2 linked regions of the Schizosaccharomyces pombe genome follow. The main gene of each other region encodes a partner of the protein of the gene in region 2 in a complex. Each region holds a gene or a part of one and is shown on either strand. Other genes may lie near its edges.

What was found. Proteins that work in one complex are often made in the same cells at the same time.
Region 1: rrp42 (region 2) and rrp41 share a complex: the UniProt entries of both Schizosaccharomyces pombe proteins name them as parts of the RNA exosome complex.

Annotation. Positions count from the first base shown.
Region 1 is NC_003424.3:3,159,586-3,166,753, forward strand, and holds rrp41 (exosome 3'-5' phosphorolytic exoribonuclease Rrp41), read left to right. Parts: upstream 1-3,541; 5' UTR 3,542-3,635; coding exon 3,636-3,638; exon of another isoform or gene 3,639-3,686; coding exon 3,687-3,726; exon of another isoform or gene 3,727-3,837; coding exon 3,838-4,523; 3' UTR 4,524-4,769; downstream 4,770-7,168. Other genes in the region: pdc201 (pyruvate decarboxylase), read left to right, coding at 645-2,357; ppt2 (holo-[acyl-carrier-protein] synthase new8), read right to left, coding at 2,734-2,858, 2,938-3,026, 3,085-3,269; tif211 (translation initiation factor eIF2 alpha subunit), read left to right, coding at 6,871-6,940, 7,003-7,168. UniProt on the Schizosaccharomyces pombe protein: Non-catalytic component of the RNA exosome complex which has 3'->5' exoribonuclease activity and participates in a multitude of cellular RNA processing and degradation events.
Region 2 is NC_003423.3:4,228,002-4,236,647, reverse strand, and holds rrp42 (exosome subunit Rrp42), read right to left. Parts: upstream 4,708-8,646; 5' UTR 4,696-4,707; coding exon 4,448-4,695; exon of another isoform or gene 4,382-4,447; intron 4,351-4,381; coding exon 3,699-4,350; 3' UTR 3,452-3,698; coding exon of another isoform or gene 2,864-3,451; 3' UTR 2,714-2,863; coding exon of another isoform or gene 2,669-2,713; 3' UTR 2,568-2,668; downstream 1-2,567. Other genes in the region: top3 (DNA topoisomerase III), read left to right, coding at 511-591, 639-1,015, 1,105-1,597, 1,648-1,784, 1,832-2,567, 2,669-2,713; BAG family molecular chaperone regulator Bag101, read left to right, coding at 2,864-3,451; kex1 (serine carboxypeptidase), read right to left, coding at 6,185-6,790, 6,838-7,536, 7,604-7,831; phosphoribosylanthranilate transferase Trp4, read right to left, coding at 8,298-8,646. UniProt on the Schizosaccharomyces pombe protein: Non-catalytic component of the RNA exosome complex which has 3'->5' exoribonuclease activity and participates in a multitude of cellular RNA processing and degradation events.

The DNA of each region.
Region 1 (7,168 bases), on a different chromosome or scaffold from region 2:
AGCCTGAACTTTAATGCAAGCTAATTTAATCAAAGTGCAATGGTATTCTTGCATGGAAATAGGAAGCTGATCAAGTAAGCCGAAGTTTTGCCTCTGTGATTTTACTTGACCAAATCGGTTGTGCGTATTGATACACCGATCAAAGATGAATCATGCTGCAAAGTCAATGCTGTAGGCCTTGTCACACAGATTATAAAAGGAGAGGCGGTTGCTGTCATTTCATTCGTCTTTAAAACAATTTTTCACGTTTCATACATATTTTTATTATTCTTTTTAGTTAAGAAAGAAACAAACTTAAAACCTCTCTCTCATCTATATCAAAGGAATTAATTCATCTTACTGTGCTCTGTATATTTCCTTTGTTTATCACATACTATACTATACTATACTATACTATACTATACTATACTTTTTTTTTTTTTTTTTTAATAAACCCAAATTTGTTTGTTTGACTTGCTTTTGAGATCCTTGTATCATTCCTCCTCTTTCTTTGTTGAGCTTTTTCATTTCCTTTGACCAATCTTTTCTCTTCTTTTCACCTCTATTCTCTTCTCTTCTCCTTCTCTTTTTCATTCTATCCTTTTGCTCTTCTTACTTGCTTGCTTGTCTTGTTTAAGTAGCGTGTTTTGTTGTACTCCTGTATCATGTCTTCCGAAAAAGTCCTCGTTGGTGAATACCTTTTCACCCGTTTGCTGCAATTGGGCATCAAATCCATCCTCGGTGTACCCGGCGACTTTAACTTGGCTTTGCTCGATTTGATTGAGAAAGTGGGCGACGAAACGTTTCGCTGGGTCGGTAATGAAAACGAGCTAAACGGTGCTTATGCCGCTGATGCTTATGCTCGTGTTAAGGGCATTTCTGCCATCGTCACCACTTTTGGCGTCGGTGAACTTTCCGCACTCAACGGTTTCGCCGGCGCATACTCTGAACGTATTCCTGTCGTTCACATTGTCGGTGTTCCCAACACCAAGGCTCAAGCCACTCGTCCCCTTCTTCATCACACACTGGGAAATGGTGACTTTAAAGTCTTCCAGCGTATGTCCTCCGAGTTGTCTGCCGATGTCGCCTTCCTGGATAGCGGTGACTCTGCCGGTCGTCTCATCGACAACCTGTTGGAAACGTGCGTTCGCACTTCAAGACCCGTTTATCTGGCCGTTCCTTCGGACGCCGGCTACTTCTACACGGATGCTTCTCCCTTGAAGACTCCATTGGTTTTCCCTGTTCCCGAAAACAACAAGGAGATTGAGCACGAGGTGGTTTCTGAGATTCTCGAATTGATCGAAAAATCCAAGAACCCTTCTATCCTCGTTGACGCTTGTGTTTCCCGCTTCCACATTCAACAGGAAACCCAAGACTTTATTGATGCGACCCATTTCCCCACTTACGTTACTCCCATGGGTAAGACTGCGATCAATGAGTCATCCCCCTACTTTGATGGCGTCTACATTGGCTCCTTGACCGAGCCTTCCATCAAAGAACGTGCCGAATCTACTGACTTGCTTCTCATCATCGGTGGTCTTCGCTCCGATTTCAACTCGGGCACCTTTACTTATGCTACCCCTGCATCTCAAACCATCGAATTTCATTCCGACTACACCAAAATTCGTTCTGGCGTTTACGAGGGCATTTCGATGAAACATTTGTTGCCCAAGCTCACCGCTGCCATTGACAAAAAGTCCGTTCAGGCAAAGGCCCGTCCTGTTCACTTTGAGCCACCAAAGGCTGTTGCTGCTGAGGGTTACGCCGAAGGAACCATTACCCACAAATGGTTCTGGCCTACGTTTGCCTCTTTTCTTCGTGAGTCCGATGTAGTGACTACCGAGACAGGTACCTCCAACTTTGGTATTTTGGATTGCATTTTCCCCAAAGGCTGCCAAAATCTCTCACAGGTATTATGGGGCTCAATTGGTTGGTCGGTTGGCGCTATGTTTGGTGCTACGTTGGGCATCAAGGATTCCGATGCTCCTCACCGTCGTTCCATATTGATTGTTGGTGACGGTTCCCTTCATTTAACTGTTCAGGAAATTTCTGCTACCATCCGTAACGGTCTCACCCCTATCATATTTGTAATTAACAATAAGGGATATACAATTGAACGTCTCATTCACGGTCTTCACGCTGTTTACAACGACATCAACACTGAATGGGACTATCAAAACCTTCTTAAAGGCTATGGTGCCAAAAATTCTCGCTCCTATAACATTCATTCAGAAAAGGAGCTCCTCGATCTCTTTAAAGATGAGGAATTTGGAAAAGCTGATGTAATTCAGCTCGTTGAAGTTCATATGCCTGTCTTGGATGCTCCTCGTGTTTTGATTGAGCAAGCCAAACTTACCGCTTCTCTTAACAAGCAGTAAAAAATATGGCTATGGCTATATTATTATGATATGTTTTTGATTTTGAAATTTACAATATTTCTCAAATGATGCTTTTGTTAGGTTAGTTAATTTGCAACAGTCGTTTTTTTTTTCTACGTCAATCCATATTTCTTTCATAAAATGAATGAATATATTGAAGTTTATGCAGCGGTTGTTTTTTTGTTGGTAATTAGGATTCATTGAATGATTTATTTTTTTTTTCTTTTTGCATCCCCTTACTCCAAGGTAGACTTGTCCAGATAATTCCCTGTTAGTATAAACTCAATAACATAAAAAAAGGTCATTGAGACGACTGGTAATGAGTAGCAGCAATAGAATCACTAAATAATATAGTACCTTCAATTTGGTCTCTCGTCTATGTCTTTGGCATAGATGGTAGATACAAAGCATTCGCTACAACCAAATCTTCCTCATGGCTTACAGATACCATTACGGGAGAAAGCGGAAATCGGGGATCATGAATAACAACGGAAGGGTAGCCTATATTAATCATAACAAAGTCAGTAACTTTACAAACCTTTTATTTTTAAACATTGAACATGGAAAACAAATGACACACCTGTGGGAGTTCGAACATACTCCATCATAGACATGTAAACTCGAAAATTCGGTTGTAAAGCTTTGAAAACAGCTTCTTTGACGCACCATCTACATAGGAAAATAACCGTTAAAACTATGAAACGATCATAAATATAGACAAGCATACCTAACAGCAAGCCATTTAGCCTGTTCGCTTAAACGAGGCAGCGAGGAATTGCTTTTAATCAGGTTGTACTTTTTAATTTCATTTTCACACAGACATTTTTTTAAAAAGTTCTTTTCCCATTCAGGAGAGCGTTGAATTAATCTTGAGATTCTTGAAATTTTTAAAATGTCAATCCCTAAACCCATTTCGATTTTTGATTCTTTATAACATGAACAGGAAATATTAATGGTAATGCAAGAAGAAAAAAAGAAATCTATGGCTTCAATAATTTTGAACGCTTAATTAATAATATATTGTAAACTAAATTTCCGACACACTAAACGAGATATAAAAATCTTTATCCTTAAATAAAATGAAATAAATTTATCTAATTCATTATCGATTAGTGCCCCCAAAGACATCAAATCCAATTCGTTTCGTAGCGAATGCAGTAGCAGGAGTTTTTACTGTAACAAGTGTACTCTCTACTCACTCCCAGTTACAAAAGTGTTCAAAGGGAACCAAAAATTATATATTTGTAATCCTTTCAATCACGAAAAAAAAAATTTCATATGGTAAGAGATAGAATTTATCTCTAGATAATACGAGTACTAACCATATAGTCACACTTTGAGATTTTATCCCTTGAAGGTCTTCGAAATGGTAAGCCAATTCATTTATGGGAAATGAAAAAGAAACTTAAAATTTACATTCAAACATCTATGATTCTTATAAAATGTATTAATCTTTCTGTGTGCTAATATTTGTTGCAAGATGGTCGACGGTGGGATGAGATGAGAAACTTTCAGTGTCGTATTGGAATCGAGCCTTCGGAGAATGGGTCGGCGTTTATTGAATTGGGTAACACAAAGGTCTTGTGTATAGTCGATGGACCCTCGGAGCCTGTAATAAAGTCCAAAGCTAGAGCTGACAGAACATTTGTGAATGTCGAAATAAACATTGCTTCTTTCAGCACAATAGATGTGAAAAAGAGATTTAAATCGGATAGGAGAATTCAATTGCAATGTTTAGCTTTACAAAATACATTTGAGGAGATAATTCAAACAGAATTATATCCCAGAAGTCAAATTTCTGTCTACTTGCATGTTTTACAAGATGATGGTGCAGTAATGGCATCTTGTATCAACGCTACTACTCTTGCCTTAATAGATGCTGGTATACCAGTTAAAGATTTCGTTTGCTGTAGTACAGCTGGGATTGTTGAGTCTGATATGCTGTTGGATTTAAACTCACTAGAGGAGTCAGCTCTTTCATGGTTGACGGTTGCTGTTTTGGGGAACATAAAAAAGGTCGTATATATGCAGCTGGAAACTAGTATGCATTTGGATTATTTGGAGTCAGTAATGAATATGGCGATCGCTGGATCAGAACATATTTATAACACGATGCAAAGTGCGGTTCGACAAAGCGCTAAACCGGCACTTGCAAGTCTCAGCTAATGACAAAATTTTGGGGAAAAAAACTATTAAAAATAAATGAACGGGAAGATTAATTTTTATAATTATACATTGATAAGTCATCACAATTGCAACTTTACTTAGCTCTACGATATTCTGACAAAACGTATACAGCTTTACTCATTTTATTCCTAGTACAACGTTTTTGTCCTTATCCTTGGTATTTCTGTATAAGTATCAAAAAAATCACCTCGAATATCGTATATAATCTTTTAATGATTGCGTCCCTTTTTTGTCTAAAGGGGCTTATATTACAAAAAATATGGATTGTACTGTAGATATTATGCATCAAAAAAGGCTCATTAATTAGTTGAAGATTTTATGAATAAATTCGGTTATTCAGATCTCACTTATTATAATAAATTGATTATTTTTTGGGGGAGGCTTTCATAAACAACCGGGAATTTTTCATTCAACAGATATTACAGATTGATGTGGATTAAAAAGAAAATATATATATATATATATATTTTTTTAGATTTTTAGATATAAGAAACCTAAGGTTTATTATGAGAATCGTAAAACTGTTTTTCGAGATAAATGTTAAATTTGTTAATGTTAAAATATGAAAAACACAGTATTTTTATTTTATATATTTCTATAATGGTGCAAACTAACAGTAGCTCTTGTAGCTCAGTGGTAGAGCGCCTGTCTCGTAAACAGGAGGTCCAGTGTTCGAGTCACTGCCGGAGCAGTTTTTATATTTTTCGATCACAGATCGGCCTTTCTAATAAGCATTGAAAGCTACAAAATGAGTATACTAAGATACTTATTAATGCATATTCTTGTAAATAGGGTTTCTCACAATTCATCGAATATACATACTCAAATTCTGCCGTTACTAGTTGATTGCTGATTTCAAGGACATCTTGATTAATAAAATGGAAGAATCGCTGTAGGATCAACAGTTAATATTACCTTCGTTTTAAAAATGAGGAATCTCGTGCCGTTCAACCAAAGTAAAAATGAAACTTCGTCAAACTGCATGACTAAGTTTCCCCTTTCTGTTTTTGATGCTTTCATAGCACTGTCAAGAATACCGTTGCGCAAATATCTGGCAATTATATACATACCAGTTCATCGCGGCCTGATTTAAGTTTTGTACGTTTTATTGTTTTCAATTGTTTTTACTAGACAGCATACTGAAATATGCCTTCAACAGTTTTTAATTTTATCAGTTTGATTGAATACATCAGTTTCCCTAAATGCTTTCTATCTTTGCCTTCAAAAACTTATTGCTTATACATGTTATAAATATACTATTTAAACGTCTACGGCCATACCTAGGCGAAAACACCAGTTCCCGTCCGATCACTGCAGTTAAGCGTCTGAGGGCCTCGTTAGTACTATGGTTGGAGACAACATGGGAATCCGGGGTGCTGTAGGCTCATCTTTTTTTGTTGATGATTTGCTTCTTTTTATATTAACATATTTGGAAAATACTTGTAATTAATTTAAAGCGGCTTTTCTCATTCTAGGTACTAGATGAGTACTTTCGTTACAGCGCAATTCTTGTATTGACCAGGTACGAATCGGAATGGAGGACATCCCACAACAGACAAAAAATGAAATACAATTCACAAATTAGTACCACATCTTGTTCATTTTCATGAACAAGTGTTAAAGAACTTTTATATTTATATAAAAGACATATTCAACTGGTTGTCTTTACTAAGTTTAGATGCATTCTTGATTCAATGTATCTACGAGAAGCGCATTGAAAAAAAAAAGTTTGTTTGTAATAGTTTATATTCAAAGACTGTTGAAAACACATTTCCTCAACTATTCTTGAGTTTGGCATTGATAACCTTTTGAATTTCATTAATACGAGTTCTCACTTTTTTTTGTAATCCAAAAAACGGTGATGGATGGTTTGTAAGGCAATGGATTAACAACTTTTCAATAAAATAATTCTTTACTCTAGTCAAAGGAACAAGTGGAATCAATTAGACAGAGTCTTCTATTCGTAAACTTTCCAATTGTAATTTTCGTTTGAGGGAAAAGAAAGTTTAAGTATATTATCTGTAATTCTAAACGATGTAGTAAACTAGTAGTTTATTAAACACTTTAGTTTATTAAATACTTTACTGCTAGTTTATTCAGCGTTCGGCTGGTAAGCCAGTTATCACCGATCGTTATGTGCTTTTAGATACTAATAAATCTTCTTTAAGGAAACTTTTTAAATATAAAGAATAATTATTGATAAACAGTTAAGTTAAAATGACCAATGTCTGGGTTCTGAAAAGAAGCAAAATTGGCCCCTAGAGTTTAGAAGTGGGTAGTCCACACAAATTTTTACTCAGAACCAAACACTCAACACTTTGCAAAAATGTCGACGACAAGCTGCAGAATGTACGAGAATCGCTTCCCGGAAGTGGATGAACTCGTTGTTGTCAACGGTATGTAAAAAATGCACATGTTGTCTGTCTAAAGAAACGGTAATGGCTAATATTTCCAATAGTTCGTCAAATCCAGGAGATGGGCGCTTATGTAAAATTGTTGGAATACGATAATATTGAAGGAATGGTTTTGCTCTCTGAGCTTTCCAGACGTCGTATTCGTTCAGTACAAAAGCATATTCGCGTTGGTCGTAATGAAGTCGTCGTGGTCTTACGTGTCGACAAGGA
Region 2 (8,646 bases):
TAATTTCAATTAATTAAGGAACTTACATCAATTTACCATGCTCTATAGAAATAAATATGTAGTTTACAATGCGAATGATGGGTTCAAAAATCAAAAAATATCTAAATTTCTAACTTTTTTTTACAAACAAAATATTAATTTTAAATTTTGTTATACATTCGGCGCATCTATTCATTAAACCGTCCTGACTATGAAAGCTTAAGAAATAGTTATTACATGGACTTCTTCAATGCAACATACATCAAAATTATATAATTACTTATCTAAAGAGGTTCTTCTTAATTCTCTAGTATAATTAACTACTGGTATGGTGTTTGATTTTTTTTAATGAACTTTCTGGTCCTCGATTTACTACCTTTCATTATACCAACATTTGTTAGCATAAACAATAAAGCCATCTCGACCTTAACACCTTACACGCGAATTTTACACTGCAGTCATTTTTAAAAAAGGGAGATATAATTAGAAGGTGTGCAATATCCAAGTAATAAATGTCATCTCTTAAAAGAAATGCGCGTCCTATGTGTTGCTGAAAAAAACTCGATTGCCAAATCGGTAGCAAGCATTCTAGGGGGTGGACACGTGAGAAGGGTTTGTTAAAAAATTTAATCTTTTCTGAAATTTACTAATCTCTTAAGAGAGATACACGAAGTAAGTATGTAAAAAATTACGACTTCTCATTTAATTTTGGAGGCAATGTTGGATCTTCTGATGTTACAATGACTTCTGTATCCGGTCACTTAACAGAAGCTTCTTTTCCTTCTGAATATTCTAGTTGGAGCTCTGTCCCTCAAGACGTTTTATTCGATGCTCAAATCATCACCTCAGTATCAAAGAATGCAGAAGTACTAGCAGACAATATTAAAAAAGAAGCTAGAAATGCCCAGTACCTTTATATTTGGACCGATTGTGATCGTGAGGGTGAACACATTGGGGTGGAAATCTCCAATGTAGCTAGAGCCAGCAATCCATCTATTCAGGTTATCCGAGCAGACTTCAATAATTTGGAACGGTCGTAAGTTATAAACATCTTAGCGTTTTAAAAAGCAGATATTTATTTATTACAGAAAAAACCCTTCAAGATAAATGCTAACTAATTTTCAGACATATTATCAGTGCCGCGAAACGTCCAAGAGATGTTTCAAAAAATGCTGCAGATGCTGTGGATGCTAGAATTGAACTTGATTTTCGTTTAGGTGCAATATTCACTCGGCTACAAACTATTCAATTACAAAAATCATTCGATATTCTTCAGAATAAAATAATAAGTTATGGTCCCTGCCAATTCCCTACATTAGGCTTTGTAGTTGATCGGTGGCAGCGAGTAGAAGACTTTGTGCCTGAAACCTACTGGCACCTTCGATTTGTTGATAAAAGACAGGGTAAGACTATTCAGTTCAATTGGGAAAGGGCCAAAGTTTTTGACAGATTAACTACAATGATCATCTTGGAAAACTGTTTAGAATGCAAAACTGCTAAGGTCGTTAACATAACTCAAAAACCAAAAACCAAGTATAAACCTCTGCCATTATCAACTGTAGAACTTACAAAACTGGGGCCAAAACATCTAAGAATTTCTGCTAAGAAAACTTTAGAGGTACGATTTGATTATAAGTGAATTTGCAACTTTAACATCATTTTCATCAGCTCGCCGAAAACTTATATACTAATGGGTTTGTTTCTTACCCACGTACTGAAACCGACCAATTTGACTCTTCAATGAATTTGCATGCGATTATCCAAAAACTAACAGGTGCACAAGAATGGGACTCTTATGCAGAAGGGTAAATATAATTTTTCTTATAGTGGCTTCCGTAATAACTAATGTTAGGCTTTTGGCTGGAGATTATCGACCGCCCCGAAAAGGTAAACACAATGATCGCGCTCATCCACCTATTCATCCCGTTCAAATGGTTCACCGGTCAGCGCTTCCTTCCCAAGATCATTGGAAAGTATATGAGCTAATTACAAGAAGATTTTTAGCTTGTTGTTCTGACAATGCCAAAGGAGCCGAAACGTTGGTGCAGGTTAAAATGGAAGAAGAGCTTTTTTCTAAAAAGGGATTGCTAGTGACAGAGAAAAATTATTTAGAGGTTTATCCATATGAGAAATGGGAAAGTTCGGATCAATTACCAGAGTATAGACTTCACGAGGAATTCCAACCCCACATTCTCGACATGATGGACAGTTCAACGTCCTCCCCTTCCTATATCACTGAACCGGAGTTAATTGCCTTGATGGATGCCAATGGAATCGGGACAGATGCTACTATGGCAGAGCACATCGAAAAAGTTCAGGAGAGAGAATATGTCATAAAACGAAAAAAAAGGGGCCAAGGTGTAACTGAATTTGTACCAAGCTCTTTAGGAGTTGCTTTGGCAAAAGGCTATGATGAAATTGGTTTAGAGTGGAGTTTGACCAAGCCTTTCTTGCGAAAAGAAATGGAAGTTCAACTTAAAAACATAGAAAATGGCCAACTTAATCGGAATGTTCTAGTTCATATGATCCTTACCCAATTCCGTGATGTTTTTCATCTCACAAAGCAAAGATTCGATTGTTTAAAAAATGTAAGTCAAATTATCATTGTTTCCTACTTTTCCAATTTTCAAAATCCCATACTTTATTTATTAATCTTTTCATTTTATGGTTGCTAACAAATATAACGCAGAGTTGCAGAGTCTACCTTATGAGTCATAATGAACCGCAAACCTAGATAACCAGACCGCTCGTATACTTTTATTAACTTATTACCTTTCGTTTTTAAGCGTCGCATTAAGACCTTCATTTTTTTGGATAGCATCAGCCTTAAAAACATAAAACATCTTGAGTTGGATCCGTTAAGCAAGTCGACTTAATATCGTCAATGTCAGAAAAGACTAGCACAGTTACAATACACTATGGAAATCAGCGATTTCCGGTAGCAGTCAATCTAAATGAGACGTTAAGTGAACTGATTGATGATTTACTTGAAACGACTGAGATTTCTGAGAAGAAAGTCAAGCTTTTTTACGCTGGCAAGCGTTTAAAAGACAAAAAAGCCTCGTTATCAAAATTGGGTTTAAAAAATCATAGTAAAATTCTATGTATAAGACCACATAAGCAACAACGAGGTTCCAAGGAAAAAGACACGGTTGAGCCCGCTCCGAAAGCGGAAGCGGAGAATCCTGTATTTTCGCGTATTTCTGGAGAAATAAAAGCCATCGATCAGTATGTTGACAAAGAACTTTCCCCCATGTACGACAATTACGTAAATAAACCGTCGAACGATCCAAAGCAGAAAAACAAACAGAAACTAATGATAAGTGAACTACTTTTACAACAGCTTTTAAAATTGGATGGAGTTGACGTACTGGGCAGCGAGAAATTGCGTTTTGAACGGAAGCAACTTGTTTCTAAGATCCAAAAAATGTTGGATCACGTTGACCAAACAAGCCAAGAAGTGGCCGCATAGGCTTTATTATTTTTATAGACGTTACCATTTCATTTCCCTTAAATTATTCCCATCTACTATACTTGCTATATGACTTTGACCTAAACGAAATACAATGACCAACCATAGTAACCAAAAATACCGATGCATGCCTCTTCATGTAACAAAATTGATCCTGATTCCGTAACCCAAGTATTGCATTTATATATATATATAGAGAGAAAGATGCTATTATATAGGAAATGGAGACCAACCCAACCCAATTCATTTATGGAAGAATATCAAAAAATCCTAAACCCTTAAAAGATAGAATATCGCTGCTGGCGTTCAAAAGCTTAGTACCAACGGTAGACGCAGTCTCTAACAATTCTATATATCGCTCTACAGTTATTGCACGTCCAGTGGATGCGTAGCCTCCTCCAGTACCCACGACCCTGGTATAGCTAATAGCACCACTAGCTTGAACACCAATCGCATATGTCACTTGAGCGACACTTGATTCCTCAATTGTAGGATCAACAATTATCACTTGATCAATGCTACTAACCAAAATTATGACTGACATTAATTCTAACCCTTGCAAAGGTAATGCATTTTCCCATTCTGAATCAACATCGTATTCTTCGGAAGGCTCATATTTAGTAGATCCAATAGTGATGTCTGTGACATTGGGGGTAGAAATTTTAGGTAAACGTGTAGTCTGTAATGCTAAATAAGCAGCAAGACTTAAAGCTGAAAGAATGTTTTCGTAAGGAGACGAAGAAAGTATTACAACAGCATCTACGTGAATAATCCAAGCTTTAGATGGTGTAAATTTCAAATAGTCGACAGCAAGTGCGTTTAATAAATCCTGAAGGGCACTTGTAAGGAATGAAGGAATTTCATCGGTTTCACGATTCTGGATTGAAACAGATGGAGAACTACATAAAAAGTGTTAGCATACCAGCTTTTTTCAATTGATTCATATTGTTTGTTACGCCAAACAATGTTAATACGAACTCCAAATATCTCACGTACATTTCAACTGAAGCGACATATTTACCACCTTCGGGAGTAGCATCACCCACTTCTGCTTTTACACCTATGACTATCTCCACCGAAGACGCCCATTTAACTCTAGCAGAACCATTTGTACCAGGCAGAACATCTACTTGTCCAGAAAGCGGACGAAGCTGGTCTATCGAACGTCCATCATTCCGAATTGCAGGCTCAAATTCTGTTATTGATTTGTGTGTGTACGATAGTTCTGGTAATGACAATTGCATATGTTGGCTAATGGTATATCGTTTAAGAATAATTTTCCTTGCAATATTGCGTTGAGTTCTTGCGTATATTCTAAAGTTCGTTATGTATGCTACGCAGTTTTGTATCTGTTTAACGATATGCAAAACCGCGATAAGTTTTACATGTGATCTGTTATATTATAATACATAGGTATAACGGCTATGAGTCATTGAAAATATTGGTATATGTAGGTATTATTTATGATCTATTTCTGTTATTAGCTTCTGACTAAAGTGAGGAACGAAATTTAGTTTCCTATTTAAATTGTTGAACATATAAACTAAATATTTGTTTCAGATATCAAATGATTTGCCCCAATATCTATCATCTACGAGGCTATGTTTAAATAGAACATGTTCCAAATGTGATACACAACGTAGTAAATTATAGCGTTGTCAGTACTACTGCGACATGTTTTTTTATTAGCTAAGACTTGTTTATTGACACAGCAGAAAAGGCGCATTCTCTAAAAATTTCGCAAGTTTACATCAGTTGAAAATGCTTGGGCAGTTGGTGCTTCATTATAACCTATTCCTTCAAAATTTTGGATGCAAAACCTACGCTGAAATATTATTTACCACTTTGATGCAATTTGGCCGAGTAGCAATAAGATCATATCTGGTGTTCTGTTCGATAGCGTGCCATCTGTAAGTATCCATCCACAAGCAAGTTGGGCCTATTGGATCATGGATTTAAAGACGTTGTCATCGAAATAAAACTATCCAATTTCTTCTTTGATATAGAGCTAGTTCACTCGTTGCCTAGACCTATTTAGTTAAGGCTGTCTGTAAAATTTACCAAACGCATCAATTGTGTCCCTGATAACGTGCGTCGATTTTGGATTGTCAAATATGATTACAGTAGATCTGTTATTAGCTTGCAGTTCTCCTTTGTTCTCATGCGTAGATGTGATAGAATCCTCCCATTGCTATAGCTTCTAACTGAATTTAGGAACGTGATTCGATTATAAATTATTTATAATAATCGATTATTAAGGGATGTAACGGATTGTCAATATAAACAGACAGATCTCACTAGTATTTATACATTTGTGACACATGTTACAAGACGTAGTTCTCCATGATATACTGTACTATTGCAAACACGTTATTGAGATTAGCGTTTGACGCTAATCTGTCCTATAAAAAAACTACAAAAACTGTAGAACAAACAATAGCTATAAGACAATGTTTGGTACATGATATTTCATATTCATGATTTGAGATCATTTAGAGACTATGTGCAAAAATAAAAATTCAAAGAATGTATCCATAAGTGAAATTTGATTAAAGATGAGAGATAAAATTTATGGTGATAATCGCAGATTTTTTAAAACCAGGGAAGAACGTTCCAAGATAAAAAAATAAATTCTACCACCGATAAAGCAAGATTAAAAGTTAAATGATTAAAATAAAGAGCAGAAAATCTGTATGTGAAAGTAAAAACCGACAGAAAAGATTTATATACAGTCTAAGGAGTTGGAGATATAGGTTGGTAGCGTTGTTTGCTAAGACCAAATAATCCAAATCTCCTGCACAAATAAATTGAGAATAAAATAATGATAGTTAAAGCAACAGGAATCAAACCCAAATAAAGCCATTTGTAGTTTCCATTACCTAAATCCGGAGAGGGTTTAGGTACCGATGGTAAGCTGGCAAAGTCATTATTAAAGAAAGCAGTAATCAAGGTCTTCATTTCATTAGGATGATCGTATGGAACCATGTGACTAGCTTCAACTATGCGAGCAAAGGTCAGGTTCCGGGAACTAACATAGGAGCCCGATGGTTGATCAGAATAGCCCGGAAGATAAAATGGTTGAGCAGATTGATTTTGAAAACCAACAGCACCATTCCACTCCAGTGATCGGGTTAATTTTTCGCCAGATAAATAATTACAAAGAAAGTCATTTTCGCCGTAAAACAACAAAATAGGAACCGTAGATACAAGGTCCTGGATTAACTTAGATGAGGACTCAATCCCTTCACGAGCATATTGTAGGGCAACGTCGTCATTACATTCTTCCCAATCATGAACCTTTTCGAGGTTAACGTTTAAGGAAGTCATCGCTTCACGAGTCTGACAATGTTAGTAAAAGATATATTATCATATAATTATAAACATACACTTAAAAATTCAGTAAGATAGGAAAGATCGTAAGGCCAGTCCATTCCACAAGTAGGATATGTCGATTCTAAGCTAATGTCATACATGTTCATACATGCTTTCCCAGGTTCCTTTGACACCATGTATAAAATATCGCCAAGAAAACTTTCGCACTTAGATAAATCACCAGATCCGGAACCTATCTTGTCAAAAGCAAGTAAACATTCCGCCCAAGAATGATGTAAATATTGACCCAGCTCTGATTCAAAATCAACCATGCCTTTTTCTACCAAATAATTTAGGTATGTTTCATAATGAGAAAGTGGGTTAATCCATCCATTTCCGATTGCAAGGCCTCCCAAGTTAACAAGATTTTTTTCTTTCAACTTTGCAGCGATATGGGGAATGTATTGACCAGCAAATGATTCTCCGGCGATAAACCATTCATCATTTGCTCTTTCTGGGAACTCCTCCAAGAATTTCTCAAAGAAAATAGAAAAATCATTGGCCATTTTCTCATTGTTAGATTGAAAATCCTTAGCCAGAGAGTATGAATACCCTGTGCCTAGGGGTTGGTCTACGAAAAGCAAATTACCCAATTCGTCCCAGCGTCCAGGGTTCAATTGGAATGTATTATTGTCATCAAGACGGAATGGTCCAACTTCCATCAGCGAGCCGTCTTCTGAAGAGCAGCCAGGACCTCCATTTAACCAAAGAATCTTTTATCAAATTAGTAATTTGTATAATATATAATTTAATTTAAAAACATTCACTTGAAATACTTACAGAACGATGTTCGTATTCGGGTTTTACGGATTCAAACATCCAGAAAAACAAATCACCATCCAGCTGATCCGTTTGATTTAAGTGTCCAGCATGCATTCTTCCCTCATAATCAACAGGCTCATTAGGAAATGCTTTTACAAGATATTGTTCATGAATTCTAGAATCAGCAAGTGTGTTGCCAATAACACCTGCAGTTAAAAGGACTATTTTCAGTAACTTCGAAATCATGCTCTCACAATCAAATCGACAGTTTTCTATATGATCCCCAGATTGAATACAAAGGAATGGGGTCCGCAATTCGGATGATATTAGTCTGCTACTTTTTATCTATTCACAAATTGTTGGATTATTGTATTTCGCTATTTTATATAGCGAAACGTAACACAATTGTGCTTAATATCCCATCTAAGACATTAAGCTTAAGTAAACATGATATATAAATTTTAAATATACTACAGTTCAATCGCTAATACGATTTTTATAGATCCATAACTAACTGATATATAAGACCTAAGCTAAAGAAAAATATCCCATATGGAAAAGGAGTGAGAATAAACAACAAACGTAAAAAAAAAGAACAATAATGCTTTTTTTTGCAAAGGCACGTTGAAAAACAAAGAGAAAGGGAATATACAAAAATGGGGTCTGAACGGATATATGTTCTAGGATATAATGTAGCTTGGAAATAAAAACCTTAGGGTTGCTGACTAATAGTAGAAAAGTTACTTAGCTCTCTCAGTGCTGCCCCAGAAGAGATACTCTGTTGAGCAATTTTGACACCCTCTCTAAGAGATTCAGCCATTCCAGCAACATGAAGTAACGCTGCAGTATTCATCAACACATAATCCAAAATCGGATGATTAGCGTGCAGCATATTTGATAATAACTCCTCCAAAAGAATGGCGTTTGCAGATGGAGTGCCACTGGCTACACTGGAGAGAGGATGAGACTGAAGATGGAAAGACTCTGGAGTGTATACTTCATGAGTAATTGTTCCGTCACGAACAAGCCATGTATGCGTAGGTCCAGCGGGAGAGATTTCA